Anolis sagrei: one gene and its partner. The protein of the gene in region 1 interacts with the protein of each later gene in a biochemical or structural test. Links are inferred from orthologs where the notes say so. Each region holds a gene or a part of one and is shown in the gene's direction. Other genes may lie near its edges.

Region 1 (16,014 bases):
GCCATCCCATCTGGTCTGGAAATGATGGCTTCTGTTCCTCTAAGGAGGGAGTTGCCTACCACCAAGACCTGCTTACTTTAAGGATTGACAGGGTACCTTTTGTGCAATATAGTGTGTAGATCCTCAGAAAAGTAATCCTGTTGAAGTGAATTGTGTAGGTGTAAAGTGTTGTCCTCCTCCTTGACATCCCCGGTGCATTCATCAAGGACAATCCACTGAGATTTGTCTAAGAGCCTATCATTCTCCTGAATGTGTTCCTGTTGCACCTCGTCTATGATTGGGGATGGAACATCTACATGATTGTGTACGTGTGAATATTGTGAAGTGTTGTCCCAGTCAGGGCTATACTGATCAAGGATTTGATATGCAATGATAATAAAATCAATGAAATGTTAAGAAGAATCCTACTGCAAAAGACCAAAGGACTAAATCCAATAGCCTGCCTCTAGTGGTGGCCAACTTCCAGATGCCTTTGGGAAGCCCCCAAGCAAGGCATGAGCAAAACAAAAAACAAAAAAAAAACCTCCTGCTGTTGTTCCTTTTTACATGGCAGTTGTGATTCTGGATGAGAGTATAGAGTTACTTCACAACTGAATTAATGTGCTGCATTATAAGTTTTAAAACCAGAACTTTGGAAAGTTAATTTCTAGACTACTTTTCAAAGACATAGTCATATTTGTTTCTGTTATTAAAAAGAAAGGAATAAGTTGCTTTGACACATTTTCATAACAAATTTATTTTAGCATTAATTTTTGTAGAGTACATCCCACTTATTAATTATTAGTTACACATATATTCTGCATTGCTTCCAATAAACTCAAGGCAGAATTATGCTTCTGGTTCTCTCTTTACTCACTGTAAGATTAACTGAGAATCACTGGCCTGAAGTCACCCAGTGAATTTAATGGCTCAGTGAGGAGTTGGGCATTATCTTCCCAATATAGCACTCTAAATTGGACTAGGGAAATTCTGATTCTCCCCCAAATGTTTTGGAAAATCCTAATAATACTGCCTGGGGCTTGAAGTCCAAAACATCTGGAAGACTAAAGATTTGCTGCTGTTGCTCTGACAACTCACACCACACTGGTATCATTGTGTACATACCAAGAGAATGCCACAGCAGGAGACTCAATGTCGACTATTAGAGCACTTCCTGGAACCCTCTTGTCATACCTTGTTGTGATAGGACCTACATTCAGTTGGCAGTCCAAAGCAGGGCAAACCCAGTGAATCAATTGCTGGATGTAAGTTAACAATTATACAAACCTTTAGTCAGCATTTATACAGTCTAAATCAACTTTTATACAAATGTATAGAAATCCTATAATCTTGGCCTCTGCTTGTCCAGTGTTGTTGGATACATTTCAATTCATGGAACTTGAGAATATAAACAGGATAGAGACAAGAGCCACTGCATGCATACTGGACCCATGCCAGTCCTGGCTGTTGAAAACATCCCAAGAGGGAGAAGTGGATTGGGTATGGGGAGTAGTGAATGCCTCACTACAGCAAGGGATATTTCCATCTTGTATAAAAGACTTTGTGGTGAGACCATTGTTGAAAAGAACCCCTTCCTGGATCTCACCATACTGGAGAAGTAGTGACCCGCCTGCCAGCTCTAGGCATTTCTGGATGAAACAGAATATCTAGTCCACTTCATTCTGGCTTCAGGCCTAGCTATGGGATAGAGACAGATTCTCTTGCCTTGATAGATGACCTACACAGGGAACTGGATAGGGAAATATGTCCCTGGTGTTTTTGCTGAACCACTCAACAGTTTTTGATACCATCAAATAGGGACAATGGGACACTATTTCACATGGCTCCAGCCTTTCTTGGAAGGGTAACTCCAAGAAACTGAGTAACTCCAAGAAGGGGTAACTCCAAGAAGAACTGGGGGATGCCTGCTCAACACTCTAGCTACTATCCTGTGGTTAAGAAGAACTTCTGATCAGAAACTTCAACAAGTCCAAAATGCTGCGGCCAAGATGTAGACCAAAGGCATTGTGCAACTTCCCTGCTGGAATAGTTGCATTGCCTACCTGTCTGTTTGTGGGTTTTTAGCTTTAAAATCCCAAATGCTTGGTTCCATATCTCCTTATCATATCAGTCAACATGAATATCAAGGTTTGCAAGCGAGGTCTTGCTCTCAATCCCAACACATTTGCAGGTATGGGTAGTGAGGGATTTTGACATGGCTTTGACATGGCTCTCTCTCTCTTTTTTTTTTTTTTTTTGTAAATTTAGATGTATCTTTTTAAATTATTGCAAGCTGCCTTGAACCCCATTATGGGAGAAATGCAGGATATAAATTAAATAAATAAGTATTTAGATAAATCTGCATTAATGCAAAGAGTTTACTTCAGCTGGTACTAGAAACTGAATTTAGGCCATGGCTACACAAACACAATCTCTCTCTTTCCCTGCTACACACACACACACAGAGAGAGAGACAGGCAGACAGGAAAAATTGTATCCTTTTATAAATGCAGGGAGACAAAGGAGTATTGCGTATTGGTCAGCAATGCAGAATTTCAGAATATGGGTCACCACAGGACTCCTATAGTCATTTATTCCACACTGGCAGTAGTGCACAGGGAGTGATTATGGCAATTTGGAAACATGCTCAGCCTGTCAATGAACAATCACTTTATTGTAACAGTGAGCCTCCATTGTAAAATGCAGAATTTAAAAAACTGAATCACCAGAAATAGAACACGATGGTGTTCTGCTGTGTTGCAGTGCTTTTGCATTAAATGCTAGACTTCTGACTACAGTGGAACTGCTCTGGCATAAAATCGAGGAAATGGAGTGAAAACCCCAGCTTGGATTATGTGTCACATTTTGGGGAAAGTGTTCTGAAAATAATACAATAAGAAGCATACTGTTTACAATATAGCTATTAGTATTATTTATATAAAGCTGTAACTATGCCCAGGGCTTATACAAATAGAAGAGAAAGTCTATAACTTAAAGTGTTTACCATCTGAAAGCATCAAAGGGCAAGTGAATGAATTCTGGTGCTATTGCTAAGTAGGCTTTTCATGAGGCAGTGATCTTAGGCATGATTATATGGCAATATACTCATTTGATCGCAGCAAGACCTATCTTTGCACATTGCCTGTTTTTAATCTGACATTTAGGCTGTATCCACACTGCAGAATTAAAGTACAGTAGTTTGACACCATATTCACTGCTGTGGCTCAATGCTATGAAAGCTGCTTTGAGCCTCCTTGTAAAGAGAAAAAGTGGGATATATTATTATTTGAAACACAAGATGAGTCCACAGCAGACAAGATCACTCTGCTAGCTGTTGTGTTGGATCACACATCGGACACTTCCCAAGTGTCTAGGACTGTGTGATGTATCAGCGAATAATGCATGAAGATCCCAGAAAGGTGGACTTCTGCAGCTGGCAAATGGTAATCTTGTCAGCGCTGATTGTGTTTAAGTGCAGGCCAAGGTCTTTAGGCACTGCACCCAATGTGCCAATCACCACTGGGACCACCTTTACTGGCTTGTGCCAGAGTCTTTGCAGTTTGATCTTTAAATCCTCATATCGTGTCAGCTTTTCCAGTTGTTTCTCTTCAATCCTACTGTCACCTGGGATTACAACATCGACAATCCATACTTTGTTTTTTAACACGATTGTGAGGTCAGGAGTATTGTGCTCCAAATCTCTGTCTGTCTGAATTTGGAAGTCCCAGAGGAGTTTGACGTGTTCATTTTCTGTAACTTATTCTGGCTTGTGATCCCACCAGTTCTTTGTCACAGGAAGATGGTATTTGTGGCATAAGTTCCAATGAATTATTATTATTATTATTTTCCACATTTGAATCCCACCCTTCTTGCTCGAAGGGACTCAGGGCAGCCTCAAAACAGGCAGAAATTTGATGCCAACAACATAAAATTCCAAAAATCCAACAATTGCAATTAAAACCACATAATTAAAACATCTGTTATGAAAATATCAATTAAAATCATGCAAGTTCAAATCATAGTCCAAGTTTTGTCCATTTGTTAGTCACATTAAAATTACTCTCATTATTGCATTGCCACAATTATAGCTCGAATGCTTGGTCCCACAACCATGTCTTAAGTATTTTCCTGAAGGATCGGAGGGAGGGGTGCTCTGATTTTATTGCGGAGGGAGTTCCACAGATGAGGGGGCACCACTGAGAAGGCCCTGACTTTCGTCCCCACCAATCGCACTTCCGAGGGTGGTAGGACCAAGAGCTGGGCCTCCCTCAACTATCTTAATCTCCGAGGTGGGTCATAGAGGGAGATATATTTGGACAGATAAGCTGGGCCTGAACTGTTTATATATAAACATAATAATAATAATAATAATAATAATAATAATAATAATAATTCCTAGGTATTGTAGTTTTGTGAGATATTTACTTTTCTCTGAGAGAGAGCTCTAGTGCCACAACGAGCTACAAATCCCAGGACTTCATGGGATGGCCGTTAAAGTGGTAACAAACTGTTATACTTTTGCAGTATGGATGATCTTTCTACATCTGCAACCAGTTAACCAGTATAAGCATTCTTTTATAGGACCTGGTTTTGTGATCATCTTGAATATTCCTCTTCTGAATATGGTCCAATCTAAACAAAGCACTGCAGATAAAGTAAAATGCTAAAACATTTTGTTAAAATGCAGGTAAAATTCACTGGGGCTTGGTTACAGCACCCCTGCTTTGCAGCATCCACAGAATTTGAATTTTGTGAATGCTCAAGTCCCATTTTACACAAAGACATAATAAAATGGTGTTCCTCAAATAAAATGGCAAAAATCAAGATTTGCTTTTTTTGGACTTTTTCTGCTGTTGGGAGAGGAATATTTTCAAGCTCTGGATGATTGTATACATTGAACCTATAAGTCTGTGTAGGTTTATCTAGAAATAAGTTGAATGTAGTGGATACAGGTTCCAAATACACACACACAATCACACTGCAAACATCTCAGTGTCACACTATAAATCACAAAACAATCTATACTGTACATCCTAATGCCATCTTTCCTGAATAGACTTCTAAACACTGAGTTCAGAGCAAAGGTTTGCCATTTTTTGAATGAGTAACTGTAACTACAAGGGCCCCCTGTGGTGCAGCTGTGGAACTTGCTGACTGAAAGATTGGCAGTTCGAATTCGAGAAGCAGGGTGAGCTGCCGCTGTTAGCCCCAGCTTCTGCCAACCAAGCAGTTTGAAACATGCAAATGTGAGTAGATCAATAGGTACTGCTTTGGCAGGAAGGTAACAGTGCTCCATGCAGTCCACGTGACCTAGGAAGCATCTACGGACAGCAACTGCGCTTTGGCTTAGAAATGGAGATAAGCACCACCACCCAGAGTTGGAAGGATTAGGGTTGGACATGATTAGACTAAATGTCAGGGGAAACCTTTACCTTTTAACTGTAACTATATGTGAAAACTGAATAGAAAGCAGAGCTTCTCATTGGCATCTTTGTTTCTTTCTCCGCTTAATATGTTACTGTTATTTCTGTCAATTAGATGTTATTCTCCACAATGCCATGAAATTACATTGATTTCTCATACAGAGAGAATCAGCACACTTTCATCTCTCTTTTTCAGAGATAAAATGTATTTATCATATCAAGAGCAAACCAAGGGTACTGTTGTATTGTATTGTAAATTTGAAAACTTGGCATTCTGTTAAATGTCCTTTGACCTGTAGCTGGCCAATTGGAGTGCCTCTGGTGTTGCTATAAGAAGGTCCATTGAGCATGTAGCAGGGCTCAGGCTGCATTGTAATAGGTGGTCTGTGGTTTGCTCTTCTCCACACTCACATGTTGTGGACTCCACTTTGTAGCCACAATTCATAAGGGTTGGCTCTGCATCTTATGCTCAACACCTTCCAAGTCCCCCAAGTTTTCTGTGTGCCCAGAAGGGGCCATGGATTGAGGTTTTGGGTTTTAGCTGCCACTTTTGGACTCTTGCTTGCTGAGTTGTTCCAGTGAATGTCTCTGTCAATCTTAGAAAATTGTTTCTTGATTTAAGTCATTAGTGTGCTGGCTGATATCCGAACAGGGGATGGGCTGGAGATGTCACTGTCTTGGTCCTTTCATAATTAACTGCTACTTCCCAGTGGTGCAATACCGGCTAAACAGCGTAGTTTCTCCAGTAGTGTAGGGTGCAGACACCCTGTGGGTGCAGACACCCTGTGATAATGTGGCATGTCTCATTAAGAGACACATCCACTGTTTTAGGGGGGACATGAGACAAACCTCCCTACAGGATTGCAAGACATCAAGGTCTTTGTAGACGGCTGATTCTCTCACAGCAGAGGTAACTGAGATAAAATAGAACCATAGAGTTGGAAGAGACCTCATGGGCCATCCAGTCCAACCCCCTGCCAAGAAGCAGGAAAATTGCATTCAAAGCATCCCTGACAGATGGCCTTCCATCCTCTGTTTAAAAGCTTCCAAATAAGGAGTCTCCACCACACTCTGGGGCAGAGAGTTCCACTGCTGAATGGCCCTCACAGTCAGGAAGTTCAGTGTAAGCATCCTTAATCCAGAATTCCAAAATACTCCAAAATTGCCCATATGGGTGGCTGAGGTGTCTATGAAAATACAAATAAATTCCATCTTCAAGGTGATGATTATGGTGTACACATACAGAAATACAGATATTCCAAAATCCAAAACACTACTTTGGGCTGAGTATCCTCGGGGGAGGTCCTCCTTTCACCCCTTCCTCCATCACAGGTTCGACTTGTGGAAATGAGAGAGAGAGCCTTTTCCGCTGTGGCCCCCCGGATCTGGAACTCACTGCCTGGTGAGATTAGGCAAGCCCCCACCTTAGCAGCCTTCAAGAAAGATCTCAAAACTTGGCTTTTCTGTTGCGCCTTTGGAGAGTGACCATATACCTCTTTTTGTTGCTCCGCCCATAATGTCATCCTCATATTGTACTTCCTTCTGCCGGTGTGAAGGCCTGTTTCCACTACTCCGTCTCCTACGAGCTTCTCCCAGAAATATTTCTCTTTCATTTTTATCTCATTCTCTCCTGACGTTTCGCCTGCATCTATGGCAAGCATCCTACCTACAACCCAGAACATTACATTTTTTATTTATATAGATTATTATTATTATTATTATTATTATTATTATTATTATTATCCTTTTCTGAAAAGCTTGAGTCCAGGAGTGCATCTGCATTGCATAATTAATACAGTTTGACACTGCCTGAATGGCTATGACTCACTGCTTTGGAATCATGGGAGTTGTAGTTTGGTGAGGCACCAGCACTATTTGGGAGAGGCGGCTACAGACCTTGCTAAACTACAAATCCCAGAATCCCATAGCCTTGAGACATGGCAGTGGGGTCAAACTGCATTAATTCTACAATACAGACGCACCTCTGGTCTCAAGACTTTCAGAGGGATACTCTGCCTGGAGCAGTGCAAAAAGACATCGTGTTTAAAGTCTTCCCAGAGTTGCTGCCCTTGATAGGGATTTGCAAGCAGGGCTGAAGCACATGACAAGCGGCTCCTCCAGCACATGGCGCCGGTACTTCATGTACCTGATGGCAATTCTTCAGAAGTGTCGCAAGCGTTGGGAAGAGTTTCTATAAGTAGGGGAGAAACAGTGGGCGAGAAAGCGCATGCGCACTACGCCCATGCTGTCTCTTGCACAATGTGCTGCGGGTACCTCGCTCCAGCGTACTCCCTGTATGCAAATATAGCGATCCCTCGTCTTGCTCGCTCATTGGATGCCCCGGAAGGGGCGTGACCGGATATGTAAATAGAGAGAAAGAAAGAAAAGCAGTGCACCCGGCATTTTCCTAAATGGCCGAGAAGGAAGAGGCGTGGCCGAAGGGGCACAAGGCTAGTTCTATCAGGGGGCGTGGCTTGTATGTAAATATAACCCCTCGCGGCTCCGGATTGGAGGGGAGAAGGCAAGTAGGCCGGGTTTATGCAAAGAAGGCGCCCGTTTTTTCCGTAAGGTGGCGTCCGTTCTTAGCCCCGCCCTGCGGTTTAAAAGCCGCCGCGCCTGCGCAGTGGGAGGAAATCGGGACTTAGTCTGTTACACAAGTAGCTGCTCCGTAGCGAAGGGGCCGCGTTCTCTCTTCGGCCTCGAGGCTTTCCTCCGCAGGCGTCTCGCCAGGCTTCCCCTCTCGCCTCCCCGCCCGGCACGTAGCCTCGTCGTAGGCAATGAGTGGGGATCAGCTGCACAACGACTCCCAGGTGAGGACGAGGCCTTCCTCTATAGCTCTGAGAGAAGCTAACCGACGCTCCGGCCTACCTTCGCCCATGAGGGGGAAGGGCGAAGAGGGGGGGCTTTCCCCATCCAAGCTAGGCCCTCATTCGGAATAAGGCCTAGCTGGGCGAGTTCCCTCACAGCCTAGGGAAAAGTGAGGCTTGCCTGAAAGAGGAGAGCCATTGTCTTCCTCCTGGGAAGTGTGCAACACTCTAAAAGAGGCTTTTAGGCCTCTCTTTTTCTCTCCTTCAGGCCTGGGCAAATTCCAGCCCTCCAGGTGTTTTGGACTCCAACTCCCACAATTCTTAACAGCCGGTAGGCTGTTAGGAATTGTGGGAGTTGGAGTCCAAAACACCTGGAGGGCTGGAATTTGCCCAGGCCACATCTAAACCCAGACATGGCCTGCATTGTGCCTGTGGAGTCGTCCCCATTTTGTCTCAGACTTCCCACTCTCTCCAAGATCTCCCTTCTTGATTCAATCACCTTTTAAGGACATCCTTCAAAACATTAAAATACATTTAAAGGAGAGCTGGGGAAACACAGAAACAAACACGAGGAAGCCAGGTGGGGAAAAAAGAGGGGGGGGGATATATATGTATGGGTGTCAATTATTTGAATTTGAAACATACCAATATATTTAAGGACACTCATTTCTCCCCCTCACCTTGACTGGTGTTTAATTAGTACTTTTTTGGTATGTGAAATAATTCTTAGAGCTGGAAGGAAGGGATATATTAATAAATATATTTAAGGACATTCATTTCTCCCCCCTCACCTTGACTGGTGTTTAATTAGTACATTTTTTGGTATGTGAAATAATTCTTAAGAGCTGGGAGGAAGGGATATATTAATATATGTGGATACATAAATATACATGCCCTATAAATGGGCATTAATTCCCCCCCCCCTCACCTTGACTGATGTGAAATCAATACATTGGTATTTTATCAATATATTAGTACATTTTTGGCCATGTGAAATATTTTTTAGAGCTGGGAGGAAGGGATATATTAATATATGTGGGTATATAAAAAATACATGTTAATTAATTTGCCCTGTATGCATGCGTTTATATATATTATCATCCTGAATTTGTCCAGTGTATATATTCAGGGCATTCATTTCTCACATCAGCTTGGTGTTTTATCAATACATTGGAGTTTTATCAATACATTAGTACAGTTTTTGCCATGTGAAATAATTCTCAGAGTTGGGAGGAAGGGATATATTAATATGTGTGGGCATGTAAAAATACATGTTAATTAATTTGCCCTGTATGTATGTGTTTATATATATTATTATCCTGAATTTGTCCAGTTTATATATACAGGGCATTCATTTCTCCCATCACCTTGACTGGTGTTTTATCAATACATTGGTGTGTTATCAATATATTAATTCTTAGAGCTGGGAGGAAGGGGTATATTAATATATGTGGATACATAAATGTACATGTTAATGAATTTGCCCTTTGTGTGTGTATATAATCCTGAATTTGTCCAGTTTATATATCTTTAGAGTATTTAGGGCATTCATTTCTCCCCTCACCTTGACTGGTGTTTTATCAATGCATTTTTTGAAGTGAAATAATTCTTATGGTTGGGAAGAATGGATATATACATGTAAATGAATTTGCCCTGTATGTATATATGTCTTTAATTTGTGTAGTTTATATATTTTTAGAGTATTTAGGGCATTCATTTCTCCCCCTCACCTTGACTGGTGTTTCTTTTAAAGGCATTTTTTTTTTGTTCTCAAGGGTGAAATAGTTCTTAAGATTCCTTAAAAAATAAATCTAATCTTCGCCCCCTTCCTCCTTCCCCCCAGATCGATCCAGATTTCCGAGCAAACGGTGAGTGCCGGCCTTGCCTTGCTTCCCCTCCCCTGCCTCCTTTCTCCCTCGTTCTGTGCTTGCTGAGGATGGCAAAGGACAGACATGGCGTCCCAGAGACTAAGTCCCGTCTCCTCGCTCACCGGCCCCATTGTTCCCATCGGGCTTCCTGATACTCCCCAATCTTAAAGCCCCTTGCCCATCCGACCCCATTTCCCGGGAGAGAGGGCTGTGGAGACCCCGATTCTGGCCTCCCCGGGTGTTTTTGAGCCTTTCTTGGGCCCGGATTCCCCCCTGGAAAGTCGCCTTGTCGACGGTCGGGACTTAGTCTCTGCGCCATTTTCTTTTTCTCTCTCTTCCCTGTGTGTCTCTTTCTCCTTCTCCTCCTCCCTCGAGCTGCCCGCAAGGAGCCTCCTGCAGTGAAAACATGCGAAATAACCACCTCCGTGTTCTAAATCACCCTTTCTGGATGCGGGTGGGGGGATCCTGTGGGGTTTTTGTTCTTTTTTTGCTTTTAAAAAGCCTTGATTTAGTAGCCTACCTCTTTATTCCTATCTTCTTCCCTCCTCCAGTTGTGTTTCTTTCAGTCCCCCATCCCCCTATAAACCAGACGTGGTTGCAACATGTTGCTCTTGAACAAATGCTTCATCTCTTTCAATTTATAACATATTTAAGACCAAGATGCAGAACTGGCTGGGTGGGGCTCTAATTATTGTATTCTGAAAGAGAAAGGTAGAATGGTGGGCAGTTCCAGAATAGTAGCCAGCATCACTTTGCTAAAGTTGGGCAGTTGTATGCAATTCATGTACAAAAGCAAAAGGAGAGGGGATACCAGTCTGTTATCAGCGCCCCCCCCTCCAAAAAACCCCCCTGTTTAATAGGAAGATTTCGCTTTCCTTTGATTATAGGGAATAAGGTCTAGAGGAGAGACAAGTACATTTGAAATAACATATCTGTGAAATGTCAAAATTGCTTCCTCCACTTAAAAAGAATTATATATTGACTTTAAAGTGTTTTTATGCTCACTTTCATAAAACGTTTTCATGATCTGTGCAACGTGTTCTGTTTTAATTTTAATACTTATTTATTAATACACAAAAGTTATCAGAAACATATGTAAAATGCAATACAGATATTCTCTCTCTATATATATATTTATATATATACATTGAAATATTTATTTTTCTGAATATTTCTGGTAGATAATTTGGATTTAAACCTTTTAGTATTTTTTAAAAAGCAATGTATAGAACTTTCTCAATCACCAGCTGAATTTCAAAGAGTTGCTTGAATGTAAATAGGGAGATTTTTTGCCACTCTTATTAAGGATATCATTTGCTGACTGATATATATTCAAGGATATGAATGTCTGTGTGTTGTACTCCAGGGGACAGTTCAGTGCTAACTTTATACTTAAAATGTGTCTAAGATCTCATGGATTTCAGTGTTTCTTCTTGTAATCTTCTGACTGTATAAACGTTTATCGAACATGCCTTTCTCTGGAGTCTTTATATTCAGACACTGAATTTTGCTGGTTCTCTCATCTTAACACATGTCTGGTACCTTAGTGAAAAGTGTGTCCTGTACTTAGGATATGAAAATATTTTCCTAGATGTTTTCTTGGGTTTTTAAAAGGAATACCAGTAACTTGACATTGTACGAGGACAGTCATAGCAGGCCCAAACAGTCCTTTATCTTTGGTGTCACACTGATTGCTCAGGTAACCACAATATCTTCAGTATCATTTAAAGAATTGCAGTTCCACTGGTATGTCCTTTCTCACCTTGCTACTAAGTCTGAAATTGCTATTATGTTTGCATACTATACTGTATTGCAATGTCTTTGCCTTCTCAGTTATTATATGATTAATTTGATGTATAAAATGGTTTCTATTCTAGATAAAGCAGTGAAAAGTCTCCTGTTGGCATGCTTTCTTTATATGTAGCTTCTGTTTTGTGCCTGTTCATAGACTGATGTAGTTTTCCTGACTGTTTTAAAACCGCTTTGGAAGGATAATTTATCTTGAATGGCTGTTTTAAATTACATTATTACTTACAGCATTATACATTCCTTCCAGTACACAACACCATTATATATTGTTTTTAGGGAGCTTACAGCTTTCCTCATAGTTTCCTCATCCTAATTGTTTAGGTGCCTCATAAGATGAAGCCCTTAGTTCTAGAAATGTGGAAACTGTTTAAACACAAAAGCTGTTGTGGCTGAACAGAAAACATTTAAACCACCAATGATAAACATCCAGTACCCGAGTATGTAAAAAACAATACCTATATGCATTTGATGAGGAAAATCAGTTTGCAATGATACACAGCTATGCTGCTTGTGTGAACAGTTTCTGGTGGTTCTAACAGTTTAATACACCAGGGAGATTAACCTACATAATTTTCCTTTGTTTATATCTTTGTTTTTGTTTTAATTTTGGAGGATTGAGACATAAACGACTGCAATTGTATCCTGATATGATACTATTCATATAATCACATAATCATCTAGAGCAGCCCTGCACAAAGGTGCAAACCCTCTACCACTGCAGCAATCATCAACTACAGAGAATTGTGTAACCACATAGTTTTACAAATAATTTAAATTTGTTTTAGGGTATTAAAGCTGTGTTTATATTGTAAGCATTGCTGTATAATTTTATGCCTGATTACATGAGTATCATATGTGTAGCTTTTATATTATCTATACGTTTTCTGCTCCTTTTACATATTTGAAAAGTTTGTATTCTTAGCTCTACTGAATTCTTAACCATGTTTTGGAGACTTATGAGGTCCAAAAGCTGTTTGTTCTTTCAAGACTTAGTCATTTGGAGGATGGGACTTGCATAATATTGTTCAAATAGTGAATTATTCACATGCTTTGTGTGTGAAAACAAATGGCCCCCCTCCAGATTATTGAGGAAGTGAAAACATCATACATGCTCTTCCATGAATATGATTTTTTCAATATGAATTTATATGTCAAACAGAAACAAAGTTGTGTCTTTACTGAAGACACAAAGCTTTTTTCATGGGGAAAGTTCGTCCTCCCTAGACTATTTGTGGCATATGTTCTAGACTTTATGATGCTCTCAGTTTTTGTATTGTTTATGAATATTATTTTATCATTGAACAGACAAAAATAAGATTTGGCAGTGATTTGAATTGGGAAGAGGCCCTAATCCTGATGCCATATGCCAGTGGGGTTTTTCTAAAGTATAAGATCCAAAGTCATTTTTTTCTTGACTTAAAAAGGAGGAACAAAAATAACTGGCAGACCAGAATAACCTTTCCCAGATTTTTTTTCCTGAGTGAGGTTGGTCATAAGAGGACAGAAGACCACTTGTGGAAGATCAGGGAAATACACTCTGTGGAATTGAGCAAATCATTTTGAAACCCTTGACTTTTGGGAACTTAATATTTATGAAAACCTTTCACTGATAAACATTTGCAGTTTAGTATGAAATACATTTACCTACTTGGAGGTTAAGTCTCCTTGAGTTCAGCTGTTTCAAAATAAGAGTGCAGTATTCATGGTCTCCCACACAGACAGCTTGAATGGGATAAAGCAAGTTCATGGAGAAAGCTATCAACATAGGTAGTCATGATGGCTGTCCAACTATGTCTCTTGATAGCACCTGTTTGGCCATTATTGGAACAGGAATCCTGGACAAGGTAGGTCTTAGGTTTGACCAGCATAATTTGCTGAGGTTAGGGGCACAGAACTCCTATGAAAGTTAAAACAACAAACAAATAAAACCAAGAAATTGATCGTAGAATTGCACTGGAGAAACTTGAATTTCATGGATAGCATTTTAATCAGAGCCACAAGAATCAAATATGCAAATTTGGAGGTATAACTGTACTTTAAAAAAACATACATATGTAGAAATGCATTTTTGTGGGCACATTAATGTTTATACGACAATAGTAATGTCACTTTTATTGTTCAGAGTGTGAAAAGGGCTGATGAATGGAAGAATTACTTTTTAAATGTAATCTATATTAGGCCTGTGCAAACAGCTGCCTGTTTAGGTTCATGGAATCTAGTTTTCAGTTAGTTGAGCTTACTTGTAAATAATAACTAAATAGAGAAGATCTTATTCTAAGATCATGTAGATCATTTGAATCAATTAAATTCCAAATCTTACAGTTATCATAGTAAGTAGTAGTAGTAATATATCTCCAATTACTTTGGAAAACATAATTGTTATTTCCCCAGTCAGTAAAGGATCAGCCATTCCCTTTAACAAGATATGTAAATTCCAGGTGTGTCAAACCAGTAATAGTCGTGATAATGAGGGTTGAATTTTGATCTCCCCTCTTTGGGCGTGGTCTTCTTAGTTCTTTTTTATCTGGCTTTGCAGCTGAATGAACATGTGATCCTTGGCAAGCTGCTTAAGTTCTTTGCCTAGTTCTTCACATTTAAATTGTGGATAAGCTAAGTGGATGAAAATTTTGAAGGTTTTCTCTGCTCAGTTGTTGAACTTATTGGCTGAGTGTTTGGCAGTTAGTTGAGTTAGGGTTGCTTGCCTATTAACTGGTTAGCGAGTGACTAATGTTTTAAAAGAGTTTATATTTTGAATACTTGTTGTTTGACAGCTTTAATGCAGTCTACTCAGCCAGGTTTCAAATTGTATATACCTATTCTATTAGCTTGTTGCAATTTTCTAATCTGTCCATAAATTTAATTTCATTTTCTGGAGTCAAATGTCTTTGTTCCATTTTCATAGAGAACCTTGCTTCACTGCTTCAGAAGCTCCTTGAACTGTGTACTGGATTCATAAAACACCATTTCAAGAACACTAGCGCTTAACATGTTCATTCAGAAGAGCTTATGAAGTCTCCTCCCTTTATTATTTAAAAGATAATAAAAAGGAAAACGTTATCATGTATACTTGATTACAAAAGTATTGCTGTGTCATAGTATAGAAGATGTTATGTGCCCTGCTTTGCAAATAGTGAATTTTTTAGTGAACTGGTTACACTGAAGTTTGACTCAGAAATGTGATTATCATGTTCAGTAAATCTTTTAATCGGCAACAAGAATATAGTTTGTTTCCAAGAACTTAGAAACTTTTTGAAATCATTTTTTAAAAAGATGTGGATGGTTGAATCCATAGATACAGAGGACTGACCGTAGTTGTCTTTCTGGTCTGTCTTATGTCTGTTATGTATCAGGTAAACTTCAAACTCACCAATTTTGTTATCCTACATTTTCAAGAAGAAAGAGAAATTGTAGCCATATGAGGGGAATGAATCTAATCATAATGCATGTGGAAGTAGAATTAGATGTGCTCACTGTATTTGCTTTCATGTGTTGCATGTTACTTCAGGGTTCTAGAAAATAGCTCACCTGACATATGCACACTAAGTCTCATTGAGCTTTGTGCTCCATTCTTATCAGCTGCGTAAAGCATGCAGTAGACCAGGAATGGTGGATTTCTATATCTTATTCAAACTCATTAGTCATCAGCCCTAGTCTGCATCATAATTGCTAAAGAATAATGAAAACTGTAGTCCAAGTTACCAATTGCTTTAAGGTGCCCACTGCCATTCTAATGTTTCCAGGCAGCAGGCTAGTTATTCCACTAAAAATCCTAATACAATTGTTCACGTTTTACAACATCAGAGCAATTCCTAATTACAACTGTAGGGCTTGCAGTGTTTTTGCTGTGGTATATATTCTTCTATATATGTGGTGGTTCAGTACCTTCAGGTTGCATCTGAGTTATGGCACCCTAATGTGAACCTATTACAAGCAATATTTGTTCAAAAGGGGTTTGCCTTTGCCCTCTGAGGCTAAGAGAGTGTGACTTACCCAAGGTCATCCAGTGGGTTTTCGTGACTGAGCAGGGATTCAAATCCTGTTTTCCAGAGTCATGCACAAATGTTCAGGTCACACACTCCTTCCTCAATAGGAAAAAGTATTTTATAACTGAACTTTCTGTTTCTCTTT
Region 2 (16,133 bases), on another chromosome or scaffold:
AAGGAGTGACCATCCCTCAAAAAAATATATGATTTTGTCATTTGGGAGTTGTAGTTGCTGGGATTTATAGTTCACCTACAATCAAAGAGCATTCTGAACTCCACCAATGATGGAATTGAACCAAACTTGGCACACAGAATTCCCAATACCAACAGAAAATATTGGAAGGGTTTGGTGGGCATTGACCTTGAGTTTGGGAGTTGTAGTTCACCTACATCCAGAGAGCTCTGTGGACTCAAACAGTGATGGATCTGGACCAAACTTGGCACAAGCACTCAATACGCCCAAATATGAACACAGGTAGAGTTTGGGGAAAATAGACCTTGACATTTGGGAGTTGTAGTAACTGGCAGGCATGTAGCCGGGGGGGGGGGCGGGGGGGGCTGCCCCCTTCCCCCCCGAAATTCTCATGGTGGTTTGCGAAAAGGCCTTACTGGTGCATTATTTAAACTGTTATGTTTATTCATATCATGATCTGATCACCATACTCAATATATCCCATATGCATGGGGGTATTGGGGTAATGATACAAAAGGTTTGCTAGGGTAGACCCTCTTTCACTCAGACTCAGCCCCCCCCCCAAAACTCAGCCCCCCGAAACCCCCCCCCCCCTGAAAAAAATTCACCCCCCCCCCCCGAAACGAAATCCTGGCTACGGGCCTGGTAACTGGGATTCACAGTTCACCTACAATCAAAGAGCATTCTGAACCCCACGAACGACAGAATCAGGGCAAACTTCCCACACTGAACCCCCATGACCAACAGAAAATACCTAAGGCCATCCAATCCAACTCCCTTCACCAGGGCAAGAAAATGTAATCAAAGTCCTCCTGACAAAGACCTATCCAGCCATAGATATAGATAGATAGATATGATTCACACACATACACAGATATAGTATCATAGATTTGAAAGGGACCCTTAAAGAAGGACAATGATATGTTGTATGTTCCAAGGTGGGCAAACCAGAGACTCTCCACATCAACACTGACAAAGAAACAACAAGACATACTGTTTACCCACAAGCATAAAGACATTACATATATAAGAAACCAACACTTTCTCATTACTTTATTTTCCAGATCACCAGACTGGGCCACAGCAACGCGTGGCAGGGGACTGCTAGTATTAAATAATTTTATGGTTGGGGGCCAATACAACATGAGGAACTGTATTAAGGGGTCGTGGTATTAGGAAGGTTGGGAAACACTGCCTTAATGAAAGAAATGAAATATGAAATATGAAAGAGTATGCATGCCCAGTGTGGAACACATCACACCATGCTAAAACAGTGGATGTGGCTCTTAATGAGACATGCCGCATTATCACAGGGTGTCTGCACCTGACACCACTGGAGAAATTACACTGTTTAGCCGGTATTGCACCACCTGACATCTGCCGGGAAGTAGCAGCCAATAGTAAAAGGACCATGGCAGAGACATCTCCAGCTCATCCCCTGTTTGGGTATCAGCCAGCACGCCAACGACTTAAATCTAGACATAGTTTTCTAAGATCAACAGAGACACTCGCTGGAACACCTCAGCAAGCGAGAGTCCAAAAGTGGCAGGCTCAAACCCAGCACCTCAACCAATGGCTGATACCAGATGAGAGACTCCCCCCTGGGCACACAGAGGACTGGGCGACTTGGAAGGTGCTGAACAGACTGCGCTCTGGCACCACGAGATGCAGAGCCAACCTCAAGAAATGGGGCCACAAAGTGGAATCCACGACATGCGAGTGTGGAGAAGAGCCAACCACTGACCACCTGCTGCAATGCAACCTGAGCCCTGCCACATGCACCATGGAGGACCTTCTTGCAGCAACACCAGAAGCACTCCAAGTGGCCAGATACAGGTCAAAGGACATTTAACCAACTACCAAACTCACAAGTTGTGTATTTTTCTGTTTGTTTGCTTTGTTCTGTTAGAAATGTAATACATATAATGGACTGGTTGCTCTGACACGACTAATAAATAAATGAAAGACCTGGCCAGGATGTGTTTTAGGCAGCTGTATTCCAACAGATGAATCTATCTGGGAAGCAAGTCATTCTTTGTTTCTTTCCCTCTGTTTCAATGGCCAAGATGAAGAGCGATCATCCCCGGAGGTCTTGAGTTGCTCACAATACACTCCCAAAATCTTCTTTTCCCACCAAGGAGGTCACTTTTCCAAGCACTAAAGCAAATATTCCCGATGTGAATTACAGGTGAAGGAGAGGAGCTAAGTGGTTGAGCAGATTGGGAAGGAAATGCCCAACTGGCCACCCAGTTGGTGTCTGCTATCTAATGGTTTCAACAGGCCGTCACAAAGCTTAATTTGCTCCCCAGAAGTGGAAGTGGGGTGAAAGGTGGAGAACTGGCGTTAAGAAGGCCTGGTGCCAAAGGAAGAGGTCGGCAAAGTGCAATCCAAATAATACTCTTGGTTTCCTATTGCTTCATAAATCTTTCCTTCGTGGCTTGCCAGAGTTGCAGGAGCATGTGCTTATCAGCAAGGGGGAAACCTAAAGTATTCACTCAGGAAGCAAAATGGACTTTGGAGAGGAGGGGGACACCATTACGAATTGTTGAGAGGGTCATCAGAGCAGAGTCCGAATGGGTCAGATGGCAGATCGGATGCTCCACTGGGGTATGACAATTGGTGCAGTTTGACACTAGAAAATCCACCAAGAAAATCCAACCAATGCTACGTTCAGCAAAGGACAAGAGGGATCCTCTCACTTCTGCAGGAGTCTACTGTGTACCATGTAGCTGTGGACAAGTCTACATAGGGACCACCAAACACAGCATTGCCCAGACACGCATCAAGGAACATGAAAGGCACTGCAGACTACTTCAACCAGAGAAGTCAGCCATAGCAGAGCACCTGATGAACCAGCCTGGACACAGCATATTATTTGAGAACACAGAAATGCTGGACCACTCTCACAACCACCATGTCAGACTACACAGAGAAGCCATTGAAATCCACAAGCATGTGGACAATTTCAACAGAAAGGAAGATACCATGAAAATGAACAAAATCTGGCTACCAGTATTAAAAAAAACTCTAAAATTACAACAGCAAAAACAGCAGTGAGGAAACAACCAGGCACAGCTTAACACCTCTCAACAGGAGATTTCCCAGGCTCAGGCAGGCCTTCAAATGCTAATGAAGCAGAGAGGAAACAGCCAGGCACAGCTTAACACCTCTCAGCAGGAGATTTTTCCCAGGCTCAGGCAGGCCTTCAAATGCTAATGAAGGTTGAAACATTCACACCTAGCTCCAGCAGAGAAGAGCTCTTTGCCCCACCCCAGCCATTCCACAGATATATAAACCCATTGTCCTATTTCCAACAGACCTCACTACCTCTGAGGATGCTTGCCATAGATGCAGGCGAAACGTCAGGAGAAATGCCTCTAGAACATGGCCCTATAGCCCGAAAAAAACCCACAAGAACTATGTGAACTGTCCTGGCTCAATGCTATGGAATCCTGAGAGTTGTAGTTTTACAAGGTTTTCGGTCTTCTCTGACAAAGAGTGCTGGTGCCTCATCAAACTACAACTCCTGGGATTCCAGAAGGGAAAGGAAGCATCATCATCGCTGTCTTTTATCTCACCGAGCTTTTTAACCAGTTTTAATTAGTTCTTCTTTTAACCATTACATGTGGCCCGCCCATTGTCACTGCGTTTGTGTTTATTGTAATTTTATATTGTTGTATATTCATATGGTTTTTTTTTTGTGATTATGATGTTGTTTGTTGTTTATTGTTTGCGTTTTCAGTTTGTGTTTGGTCATTCTTTATTGTCATTGTCGTTCGGGCTTGGCCCCATGTAAGCCACTCCGAGTCCCGATGAGGTTGGCTCTACATCTCGTGGTGCCAGAGCGCAGTCTGTTCAGTGAAGGAAGGAAGGAGAGGAGGAAGGAGATGAAGAAGAGCAGGAAGAGAAGAGGAAGAGGAGGAGGAAGGGGGAAAGATATGGAGGAGGAGGAGGAGGAGGGAGTAAGGAGATGAAGAAGAGAAGGCAGAGAAGAGGAAGAGGAGGAGGAAGGGGAAAAGATATGGAGGAGGAGGAGGAGGAGGGAGTAAGGAGATGAAGAAGAGAAGGCAGAGAAGAGGAAGAGGAGGAGGAAGGGGAAAAGATATGGAGGAGGAGGAGGAGGAGGGAGTAAGGAGATGAAGAAGAGAAGGCAGAGAAGATGAGGAAGAGAAGAAAAACAAGAGAATGGAGGTAAAAGGAGGGATGTAGAAGAGGAGGAAAAGAAGGAGCAGTAAGGAGATGAAGGAGAGGAGAGGAAAGAGAAAAGGAGGAAGAAGATGAAGAAGAGAAAGAAAACAAGAGGAGGGAGGGGAAAGGAGGGATGTAGAAGAGCAGGAAAAGGAGGAGAAGTAAGGGGAGGAAGGAGAGGATAAGGAAGAGAAGAGGAGGAGGAGGAAGGAAAGGGGAAGGGATGATGATGAAGAAGAAGAAGAGGAGGAGGAGGAAAAGAAGGAGATGAAGATGAAGAAGAGAAGGAAGAGAAGTGGTGGTGGTGGAGGAGGAGGAGGAGGAGGAGGAGGGGAGAATGATGGGGAGGGAGAGGAGGAGAAAGATGAAAAAGAAAAGGGTGACAAGAGGGTGAGGAAGAGGAGGAAGGGAAAAAGGAGGGATGTAGAAGAGGAGTAAAAGAAGAAGGGGTCAGGAGATGGAGAAGAGGAGAAGGAAGAGAAGGGGTGGAGCAGAAGGAGAAGGAGGAAGGAGAAGGAGTTAGGAGATGAAGAAGAGAAGAAGTAAGAAAAGAGGAGGAGGAGGAGGAAGAAAAAAAGGAAATGAAAGGGGATAAAGATGAAGGGGAGGAAGAAGAGGAGGAAAGAGAAGAAGAAGAAGAAGAAGAAGAAGAAGAAGAAGAAGAAGAAGAAGAAGAAGAAGAAGAGAATGACGGGTGGGGAGAGGAGGAAAAAGATGAAAAAGAGAAGGGTGACAAGAGGGTGAGGAAGAGGACGATGGGGGAAAGGAGCTATGTAGAAGAGGAGGAGGAGGAGGAGGAGGAGGAGTTAGGAGATAAAGAATAGAAGAAGGAAGAGAAGTGGTGGAGGAGGAGAAGGTGGAAGGAAGGAAGGAGAAGGAATTAGGAGATGAAGAAGAGGAGAAGTAAGAAAAGAGGAGGAGGAAAAGGAGGAAATGAAAGGGGAGGAAGATGAAGGGGAGGAAGAAGAGGAGGAGAAATAAAATAAGAGGCGGAGAAGAGAAGAAAAGTGAAGAAGAAGAAGAAGAAGAAGAGAAGAGTGATGGGGAGGGACAGGAGGAGAAAGATGAAAAAGAGAAGGGTGACAAGAGGGTGAGGAAGAGGAGGAAGGGAAAAAGGAGGGATGTAGAAGAGGAAGAAAAGAAGGAGAAGGGGTCAGGAGATGAAGAAGAGGAGAAGGAAGAGAAGTGGTGGAGGAGGAGGAAGGAAGGAAGGAGAAGGAGTTAGGAGATGAAGAAGAGGAGAAGGAAGAAAAGAGGAGGAGGAGGAAAAAGAGGAAATGAAAGGGGATGAAGATGAAGGGGAGGAAGAAGAGGAGGAGAAATAAAAGAAGGGGCGGAGAGGAGGAAAGAGAAGAAGAAGAAGACGGGAGAATGAAGAAAGATAAGGGAGAGGAGAAAGATAAAAAAGGGAGACAAGAGGATGAGGAAGAGGAGGAAAGGGAAAAGGAGGGATGTAGAAGAGGAGTAAAAGAAGGAGAAGGAGTTAGGGGATGAAGAAGAAAAGGAAGAGAAGTGGTGGAGGAGGGGGAAGGAAGGAAGGAAGGAAGGAAGGAAGGAAGGAAGGAAGGAAGGAAGGAAGGAAGGAGATGAAGAGGAGAAGGAAGAGAAGTGGTGGAGGAGAGGGAGGGAAGGAAGGAAGGAAGGAAGGAAGGAAGGAAGGAGGGAAGGAGATGAAGAGGAGAAGGAAGAGAAGTGGTGGAGGAGGAGGAAGGGGGAAAGATATGGAGGAGGAGGAGGAGGGAGTAAGGAGATGAAGAAGAGAAGGCAGAGAAGAGGAAGAGGAGGAGGAAGGGGAAAAGATATGGAGGAGGAGGAGGAGGGAGTAAGGAGATGAAGAAGAGAAGGCAGAGAAGAGGAAGAGGAGGAGGAAGGGGAAAAGATATGGAGGAGGAGGAGGAGGAGGGAGTAAGGAGATGAAGAAGAGAAGGCAGAGAAGATGAGGAAGAGAAGAAAAACAAGAGAATGGAGGTAAAAGGAGGGATGTAGAAGAGGAGGAAAAGAAGGAGCAGTAAGGAGATGAAGGAGAGGAGAGGAAAGAGAAAAGGAGGAAGAAGATGAAGAAGAGAAAGAAAACAAGAGGAGGGAGGGGAAAGGAGGGATGTAGAAGAGCAGGAAAAGGAGGAGAAGTAAGGGGAGGAAGGAGAGGATAAGGAAGAGAAGAGGAGGAGGAGGAAGGAAAGGGGAAGGGATGATGATGAAGAAGAAGAAGAGGAGGAGGAGGAAAAGAAGGAGATGAAGATGAAGAAGAGAAGGAAGAGAAGTGGTGGTGGAGGAGGAGGAGGAGGAGGAAGGAAGGAGGAGGAGTTAGGAGATGGAGGAGGAGGAGGAGGGGAGAATGATGGGGAGGGAGAGGAGGAGAAAGATGAAAAAGAAAAGGGTGACAAGAGGGTGAGGAAGAGGAGGAAGGGAAAAAGGAGGGATGTAGAAGAGGAGTAAAAGAAGAAGGGGTCAGGAGATGGAGAAGAGGAGAAGGAAGAGAAGGGGTGGAGCAGAAGGAGAAGGAGGAAGGAGAAGGAGTTAGGAGATGAAGAAGAGGAGAAGTAAGAAAAGAGGAGGAGGAGGAGGAAGAAAAGAAGGAAATGAAAGGGGATAAAGATGAAGGGGAGGAAGAAGAGGAGGAAAGAGAAGAAGAAGAAGAAGAAGAAGAAGAAGAAGAGAATGACGGGTGGGGAGAGGAGGAAAAAGATGAAAAAGAGAAGGGTGACAAGAGGGTGAGGAAGAGGAGGATGGGGAAAAGGAGCTATGTAGAAGAGGAGGAGGAGGAGGAGGAGGAGTTAGGAGATAAAGAATAGAAGAAGGAAGAGAAGTGGTGGAGGAGGAGAAGGTGGAAGGAAGGAAGGAGAAGGAATTAGGAGATGAAGAAGAGGAGAAGTAAGAAAAGAGGAGGAGGAAAAGGAGGAAATGAAAGGGGAGGAAGATGAAGGGGAGGAAGAAGAGGAGGAGAAATAAAATAAGAGGCGGAGAAGAGAAGAAAAGTGAAGAAGAAGAAGAAGAAGAAGAGAAGAGTGATGGGGAGGGACAGGAGGAGAAAGATGAAAAAGAGAAGGGTGACAAGAGGGTGAGGAAGAGGAGGAAGGGAAAAAGGAGGGATGTAGAAGAGGAAGAAAAGAAGGAGAAGGGGTCAGGAGATGAAGAAGAGGAGAAGGAAGAGAAGTGGTGGAGGAGGAGGAAGGAAGGAAGGAGAAGGAGTTAGGAGATGAAGAAGAGGAGAAGGAAGAAAAGAGGAGGAGGAGGAAAAAGAGGAAATGAAAGGGGATGAAGATGAAGGGGAGGAAGAAGAGGAGGAGAAATAAAAGAAGGGGCGGAGAGGAGGAAAGAGAAGAAGAAGAAGACGGGAGAATGAAGAAAGATAAGGGAGAGGAGAAAGATAAAAAAGGGAGACAAGAGGATGAGGAAGAGGAGGAAAGGGAAAAGGAGGGATGTAGAAGAGGAGTAAAAGAAGGAGAAGGAGTTAGGGGATGAAGAAGAAAAGGAAGAGAAGTGGTGGAGGAGGGGGAAGGAAGGAAGGAAGGAAGGAAGGAGATGAAGAGGAGAAGGAAGAGAAGTGGTGGAGGAGAGGGAAGGAAGGAAGGAAGGAAGGAAGGAAGGAAGGAAGGAAGGAAGGAAGGAAGGAGGGAAGGAGGGAAGGAGATGAAGAGGAGAAGGAAGAGAAGTGGTGGAGGAGGAGGAAGGAAGGAGATGAAGAGGAGAAGGAAGAGAAGTGGTGGACGAAAAGGGAAGGAGGGAGGGTAAAGAGTTAGGAGATGAAGAAGAGGAGAAGGATGAGAAGAAGAGGAGGAGGAAGAAAGGAGGGTTGTAGAAGAGGAGGAAAAGAAGGAGAAGGGGTTAGGAGATGAAGAAGAGGAGAAGGAAGAGAAGTGGTGGAGGAGGGGGAAGGAAGGAAGGAAGGAAGGAAGGAGATGAAGAGGAGAAGGAAGAGAAGTGGTGGAGGAAAAGGGAAGGAGGGAGGGTAAAGAGTTAGGAGGTGAAGAAGAGGAGAAGGATGAGAAGAAGAGGAGGAGGAAGAAAGGAGGGTTGTAGAAGAGGAGGAAAAGAAGGAGAATGGGTTAGGAGATGAAGAAGAGGAGAAGGAAGAGAAGTGGTGGAGGAAAAGGGAAGGAGGGAGGGTAAAGAGTTAGGAGATGAAGAAGAGGAGAAGGATGAGAAGAAGAGGAGGAGGAAGAAAGGAGGGATGTAGAAGAGGAGGAAAAGAAGGAGAAGGGGTTAGGAGATGAAGAAGAGGAGAAGGAAGAGAAGTGGTGGAGGAGGGGGAAGGAAGGAAGGAAGGAAGGAAGGAAGGAAGGAAGGAAGGAAGGAAGGAAGGAAGGAAGGAAGGAAGGAGATGAAGAGAAGGAAGAGGAGTGGTGGAGGAGAAGGGAGAGAGGGAGGGTAAAGAGTTAGGAGATAAAGAAGAGGAGAAGGATGAGAAGAAGAGGAGGAGGAGGAAAAGGAGGGATGGAGAAGAGGAGGAAAAGAAGGAGAAGGGGTTAGGAGATGAAGAAGAGGAGAAGGAAGAGAAGTGGTGGAGGAGGGGGAAGGAAGGAAGGAAGGAAGGAAGGAAGGAAGGAAGGAAGGAAGGAGATGAAGAGGAGAAGGAAGAGAAGTGGTGGAGGAGAAGGGAAGGAGGGTAAAGAGTTAGGAGATGAAGAAGAGGAGAAGGATGAGAAGAAGAGGAGGAGGAAGAAAGGAGGGTTGTAGAAGAGGAGGAAAAGAAGGAGAATGGGTTAGGAGATGAAGAAGAGGAGAAGGAAGAGAAGTGGTGGAGGAAAAGGGAAGGAGGGAGGGTAAAGAGTTAGGAGATGAAGAAGAGGAGAAGGATGAGAAGAAGAGGAGGAGGAAGAAAGGAGGGTTGTAGAAGAGGAGGAAAAGAAGGAGAATGGGTTAGGAGATGAAGAAGAGGAGAAGGAAGAGAAGTGGTGGAGGAGGGGGAAGGAAGGAAGGAAGGAAGGAAGGAAGGAAGGAAGGAAGGAAGGAAGGAAGGAAGGAAGGAAGGAAGGAAGGAAGGAAGGAAGGAAGGAGATGAAGAGGAGAAGGAAGAGAAGTGGTGGAGGAGGGGAAGGAAGGAAGGAAGGAAGGAAGGAAGGAAGGAAGGAAGGAAGGAAGGAAGGAAGGAAGGAGATGAAGAGGAGAAGGAAGAGAAGTGGTGGAGGAAAAGGGAAGGAGGGAGGGTAAAGAGTTAGGAGATGAAGAAGAGGAGAAGGATGAGAAGAAGAGGAGGAGGAAGAAAGGAGGGATGTAGAAGAGGAGGAAAAGAAGGAGAAGGGGTTAGGAGATGAAGAAGAGAAGGAAGAGAAGTGGTGGAGGAGGGGGAAGGAAGGAAGGAAGGAAGGAAGGAAGGAAGGAAGGAAGGAAGGAATGAGATGAAGAGGAGAAGGAAGAGAAGTGATGGAGGAGGGGGAAGGAAGGAAGGAAGGAAGGAAGGAAGGAAGGAGATGAAGAGGAGAAGGAAGAGAAGTGGTGGAGGAGGAGGAGGAAGGAAGGAAGGAAGGAAGGAAGGAAGGAAGGAAGGAAGGAAGGAAGGAAGGAAGGAAGGAAGGAAGGAAGGAGATGAAGAGGAGAAGGAAGAGAAGTGGTGGAGGAGGAGGAAGGAAGGAAGGAAGGAAGGAAGGAAGGAAGGAAGGAAGGAGATGAGGAGAAGGAAGAGAAGTGGTGGAGGAGAAGGGAGTGAGGGAGGGTAAGGAGTTAGGAGATAAAGAAGAGGAGAAAGATGAGAAGAAGAGGAGGAGGAGAAGGAGGAAAAGGAGGAAATGAAAGGGGATGAAGAAGAGGAGGAGGAGATGGCTCGGGGAAGAGCTGGATCCCTTCTGCCTCTGGAGAGCGGGTCTCCTTCCAGCGGGGAGCGAGGGACCAATCCTGGCCGAGGAGGGCGCAGGAGGGCCGGCTCCCTGTATAAAGGCCCCCGCGGGGCGCCGGCAGTTGCCATAGGCTCCGTCGAGCAAGGGCGCGCTCCCCGCGGGAGGGACCTTACCGGGCAGCGCCCCCTGCCGGACGCGCTCATGGCTGCGCCCCGCTCCAAGCCGCTGACTTCTTTCCTCATCCAGGACATCCTGCGCCTGGGGGGCCATCCAGCCGGGCCTGGGTCTCCCCCCGAGGAAGCCGGGAGAAGCAATGCCCCCCGGGAAGCCAGCCCCGAATCTCGGGAGGTACCGGAGAGCCACCTTCCAGGTAAGACGCTTCTTGGGTCACCTCCAGCATAGATATCAGAACCATAAACGGAATGGGTTGTTGTTTTCCGGGCTATCTAGCCATGTTCCAAAAGCATTCTCTCCCGACGTTTCGCCCACATCTATGGCAGGCATCCTCAGAGCTTGTGCGGTCTGTTGGAAACTAGGCAAATGAGGTTTCTCTATCTGTGGAATGATGTCCAGGGTGGGAGAAAGAACTCTTGTCTGCTGGAGACAAGTGTGAATGCTGCCATTGGCCACCTCTATTTGCATTGAATGCCCTTGCATCTTCAAAGACTGGCTGCTTGCTGCTTGGGGAATCCTTTGTTGGGAAGTGTTAGCTGGTCCTGATAGACTGGCTGATTGCTGCTTGGGGGAATCCTTTGTTGGGAGGTGTTAGCTGGTCCTGATAGACTGGCTGATTGCTGCTTTGGGGAATCCTTTGTTGGGAGGTGTTAGCTGGTCCTGATAGACTGGCTGATTGCTGCTAGGGGGAATCCTTTGTTGGGAGGTGTTAGCTGGTCCTGATAGACTGGCTGATTGCTGCTTTGGGGAATCCTTTGTTGGGAGGTATTAGCTGGTCCTGATAGACTGGCTGATTGCTGCTAGGGGGAATCCTTTGTTGGGAGGTATTAGCTGGTCCTGATAGACTGGCTGATTGCTGCTAGGGGGAATCCTTTGTTGGGAGGTGTTAGCTGGTCCTGATAGACTGGCTGCTTGCTGCTTTGGGAAATCCTTTGTTGGGAGGTGCTAGCTCATCCTGATAGTTTCCCAGGCTGTATGGCCATGTTCTAGAAGCATTCTCTCCTGACGTTTCACCCACATCTATGGCAGGCATCCTCAGAGCTTGTGAGGTCTGTTGGAAACTAGGCAAATGAGGTTTATATTTCTGTAGAATGATGTCCAGGGTGGGAGAAAGAACTCTTTTCTGTTGGAGGCAAGTGTGAATGTTGCAACTGGCCACCTTGATTAGCATTGAATGGCCTTGCAGCTTCAAAGACTGGCTGATTGCTGCTTAGTTTTTAATATTTTATCCTAAACATGTGGTCTGCCCATTGTCAATATGATTGTGTTATTGTAATTTTGTATTGCCTAATGTATCCACATGTTTTTATGATGTTGTTGTTATTGCTTGTGTTTTTGGTTTTATTTTGCTGTAATCTGCTGTCCGGGCTTGGCCTCATGTAAGCCGCCCCGAGTGTCCCCGTTGGGAGAGATGGTGGCAGGGTATAAATAAAGTTTATTATTATTATTATTATTTGAAACACAACAAGATGAGTCCCCAGCAGACAAGATCACTCTGCTGGCTGTTGTATTGGATCACACGTCAAACCCTTCCCAAGTGTCTAGGACTGTGTAATGTATTGGCGAATAATGCGTGCAGATCCCAGTAAGGTGGCCTTCTGCAGCTCACAGATGGTAATTTGGTCAGTGCCGATTGTGTTTAAGTGCAGGCCAAGGTCTTGAGGCAATGCACCCAGTGTGCTGATCACCACTGGGACCACCTTGACTGGCTTGTGCCAGAGTCTTTGCAGTTCGATCTTTAAATCCTCATACCGTGTCAGTTTTTCCAGTTGTTTCTCTGCTATTATTATTATTATTATTATTATTATTATTATTATTATTATTGGGGAAATCCTTTGTTGGGAGATGCTAGCTCATCCTGACAATTTTCCAGGCCGTATGGCCGTGTTCCAGAAGCATTCTTTCCTGACGTTTCACCCACATCTATGGCTGGTATCCTCAGAGGTTGTGAGGTGTGTTGGAAACAGGATGAGATTTATATTTCTGTGGTTTATATATCTGGACATTTCGCAGATACCTAAACCTCATTTGCCTAGTTTCCCACAGAACTCACAACCTCTGAGGATGCTTACCATAGATGTGGGCGAAACGTCAGGAGAGAATGCTTCTGTAACATGGCCAGACACTCCAGAAATCTCGCAGCAACCCAACCCTCAATCTGATCGAGGCCTGTTCTCAGTATATACTCCTGTTGTTGTTTACGTTTCTTTTCTGCCCCATAGATCCTCCTGCGGAAACCCCAGGGAACCCACCCAAGTCCTTCCTGCGGCCTCCAAAGCAGCAGAAGCGCTCCCGGGCGGCCTTTTCCCACTCTCAGGTCATCGAACTGGAGCGGAAGTTCAGTCAGCAGAAGTACCTGTCGGCCCCGGAGCGGGCTCACTTGGCCCGCCACCTCAAGCTCACCGAAACCCAGGTGAAAATCTGGTTCCAGAACCGAAGGTACAAGACCAAGCGGAAGCAGCTGGCCTCGGATCTCGGCGGCTTTGAGAAGAACTCTTCCATCCCGACATACAAGGAGAGCGCCTTCTCCAGAGCTGCCTTGGCCCTCTCGGTGTGCCACAGCCACCAATACCACCCTTATTTATACTGCCTCAATGGCTGGACTCCTGTCTTTTGGTAACTGACCTTCAAGAGCAGTCCAATGCTACCGAGTTGCTTTCCATCCATGCTGTGCCCATCTAGAACACTACGTAAACGACATTTGAAAACTGTATTGTCGCAGGCTTTCATGGCTGGAATCACTAGGTTCTTGTGGGTTTTTTCGGGCTATATGGCCATGTTCTAGAGGCATTTTCTCCTGACGTTTCTCCTGCATCTATGACAAGCATCCTCAGAGGTAGTGAGGTCTGTTGGAACTGGGAAAAATTGGTTTATATATCTGAGGAATGACTGGGATGGGGCAAAGAGCTCTCTGCTGCAGCTAGGTGTGAATGTTTCAGCTGACCACCTTCATTATCATTTGAAGGCCTGGCTGAGCCTGGGAAAATGCCTTGTTGAGAGGTGTTAAGATGTGCCTGGTTGTTTGTTTCCTCTCTGCTGTTTTGCTGTTGTAATTTTAGATCCTGGTTTGAAAGTGTTCTGGAACATAGCCATAGAAAACTCACAGCAAGCCTTTTATTTCCTGTTTAATTGTACAGTCCTTACTTTGAAAGTAGTTTTTCTACTCCAGAAACTACAAACTATGTTGAATTGGTTGAGATATTCACAGAATCATAGAATCCAAGAGTTGGAAGAGACCTCATGGGCCATCCAGTCCAACCCCATTCTACCAAGCAGCAGGAAAATTGCATTCAAAGCACCCCTGACAGATGGCCATCCAGCCTCTGTTTCAAAGCTTCCAAAGAAGGAGCCTCCACCACACCCCGGGGCAGAGAGTTCCACTGCTGAACGGCTCTCGCAGTCAGGAAGTTCTTCCTCATGTTCAGATGGAATCTCCTCTCTTGTAGTTTGAAGCCATTGTTCCTTTGCGTCCTAGTCTCCAGGGAAGCAGAAAACAAGCTTGCTCCCTCCTCTCTGTGACTTCCTCTCACATATTTATACATGGCCCTCATCATATCTCCTCTCAGCCTTCTCTTCTTCAGGCTAAACATGCCCAGCTCCTTAAGCCGCTCCTCATAGGGCTTGTTCTCCAGACCCTTGATCGTTTTAGTCGCCCTAAAATTCATTGAAAATTCATTGAAAAACTGGAGCAATATGCTGCAGGATGTCCCTTCTGCAATTTTTTTTCAGTTTAATCAACGTTTCCCATGTTTTTATGATAGTCTCAATTAGGAAACGACATTTATAACCCGGAAACAAAAATCGTCTTGCATAGTGTAATTGTCACTGTCCTTTTCCCTCTCCTGCCTTTGGCATCTAGGTGTTCTCCCTTTGGATCAGCAGCTATAGGTTTTTTTGTTTTGTTTTGGGGTTTTTTGTCATGTCAGGAGTGACTTGAGAAACTGCAAGTCGCTTATGGTGTGAGAGAATTGGCCATCTGCAAGGACGTTGCCCAGGGGACGTCCAGATGATTTGATGTTTCTTATCATCCTTGTGGGAGGCTTCTCTCATGTCCCCGCATGAGGAGCTAGAGCTGACAGAGGGAGCTCATCTGCCTCTCCCCAGATTTGAACCTGCGACCTGTCGGTCTTCAGTCCTGCCGGCACAAGGGTTTAACCCACTGTGCCACCGGGGGCTCCAGCAACTATAGGTGCCAGCTGCTATAAAAGTGACATATATGGTCTGTAGCGAAAAATGAATACATTGGTTGTACAAGACTCCTGGGGATCAGTGCAAAGTGCTGCCCAGTAGGCATGTGCTTTCAGGGTAAACCTTGTCCCGTTTTCATAGAATCCTAGAGTTGGAAGAGACCTCGTGGGCCATCCAGTCCAATCCCTTTTTGCCAAGAAGCAGGAAAATTGCATTCAAAGCCCCCCTGACAGATGGCCATAGAGTTGGAAGAGACCTCATGGGCCATCCAGTCCAATCCCATTCTGCCAAGAAGCAGGAAAATTGCATTCAAAGCACCCCTGACAGATGGCCATAGAGTTGGAAGAGACCTCATGGGCCATCCAGTCCAATCCCATTCTGCCAAGAAGCAGGAAAATTGCATTCAAAGCACCCCTGACAGATGGCCATAGAGTTGGAAGAGACCTCATGGGCCATCCAGTCCAACCCCATTCTGCCAAGAAGCAGGAAAATTGCATTCAAAGCACCCTTGACAGATGGCCATAGAGTTGGAAGACACCTCCTGGGCCATCCAGTCCAACCCCATTCTGCCAAGAAGCAAGAATATTGCATTCAAATCACCCCCGACAGATGGCCATCCAGCCTCTGTTTAAAAGCTTTTAAAGAAGGAGCCTCCACCACACTCCTGGGCAGAGAGTTCCACTGATGAACAGCTCTCACAGTCAGGAAGTTCTTCCTCATGTTCCGGTGGAATCTCCTTTCTTGGAGTTTGAAGCCATTGTTCCCTTGCGTCCTAGTCTCCAGGGAAGCAGAAGACAAGCTTGCTCCCTCCTCCCTGTGGCTTCCTCTCACATATTTATCCATGGCTCTTATCATGTCTCCTCTCAGCCTTCTCTTCTTCAGGCTAAACATGACCAGTTCTTTAAGCCGCTCCTCATAGGGCTTGTTCTCCAAACCCTTGATCATTGGAGTCGCCCTCCTTTGGACACATTCCAGCTTGTCAATATCTCCCTTCCATTGTGGTGCCCAGAATTGGACACAGTATTCCAGGCATGGTCTAACCAAGGCAGAAAAGAGCACGGGGAGCAGGACTTCCCTGGATGTAGACCAGGGGTCCTCAAACTTTTTAAACAGAGGGCCAGGTCACAGTCCCTCAAACTTTTGGAGGGCCGGATTATAATTTGGAAAAAAAAAACCATGAATGAATTCCTATGTACACTACACATGCCTTATTTGTAGTGCAAAAAACACTTAAAACAATACAATAATTAAAATAAAGAACAATTTTAACAAATATACTTTTATTAGTATTTCAATGGGAAATGTGGGCCTGCTTTTGGCTAATGAGATAGGATTGTTGTTGTGTGCTTTCAGGTCATTTCATACTTAGCTTGACCCTGAGTGAGGGCTGGATAAATGACCTTAGAGGGCCGTATCTGGCCCCCGGGTCTTAGTTTGAGGACTCCTGATCTAGACTCTATGCTCCTATTGATGCAGGCCAAAATCCCATTGGCTTTTTTTGCCACCACATCACATTGTTGGCTCATGTTTAACTTGTTGTCCACGAGGACTCCAAGATCTTTTCCACACGTACTGCAGTCGAGGCAGGCATCGTCCCCCATTCTGTATCTTTGCATTTCATTTTTTTCTGCCTAAGTGGAGTCTCTTGCATTTGTCCCTGTTGAACTTCATTTTGTTAGTTTTGGCCCATCATCTCTCTAATCTGTCAAGGTCGTTTTGAATTCTGCTCCTGTCCTCTGGACTATTGGCTATCCCTCCCAATTCAGTCTCATCTGCAAACTTGATAATCAT

What was found.
Region 2: the proteins of TOP1 (region 1) and NKX3-1 form a complex in vitro, tested with the Homo sapiens proteins (2 studies listed by BioGRID and IntAct). The link is inferred for Anolis sagrei from reciprocal best matches to the Homo sapiens genes TOP1 and NKX3-1.

Annotation. Positions count from the first base shown.
Region 1 is NC_090024.1:216,022,706-216,038,719, forward strand, and holds the start of TOP1 (DNA topoisomerase 1), read left to right. Parts: upstream 1-8,025; 5' UTR 8,026-8,179; coding exon 8,180-8,212; intron 8,213-10,052; coding exon 10,053-10,077; intron 10,078-16,014. UniProt on the Homo sapiens protein: Releases the supercoiling and torsional tension of DNA introduced during the DNA replication and transcription by transiently cleaving and rejoining one strand of the DNA duplex.
Region 2 is NC_090027.1:5,193,389-5,209,521, reverse strand, and holds NKX3-1 (homeobox protein Nkx-3.1), read left to right. Parts: upstream 1-9,932; coding exon 9,933-10,350; intron 10,351-12,376; coding exon 12,377-12,774; 3' UTR 12,775-12,935; downstream 12,936-16,133.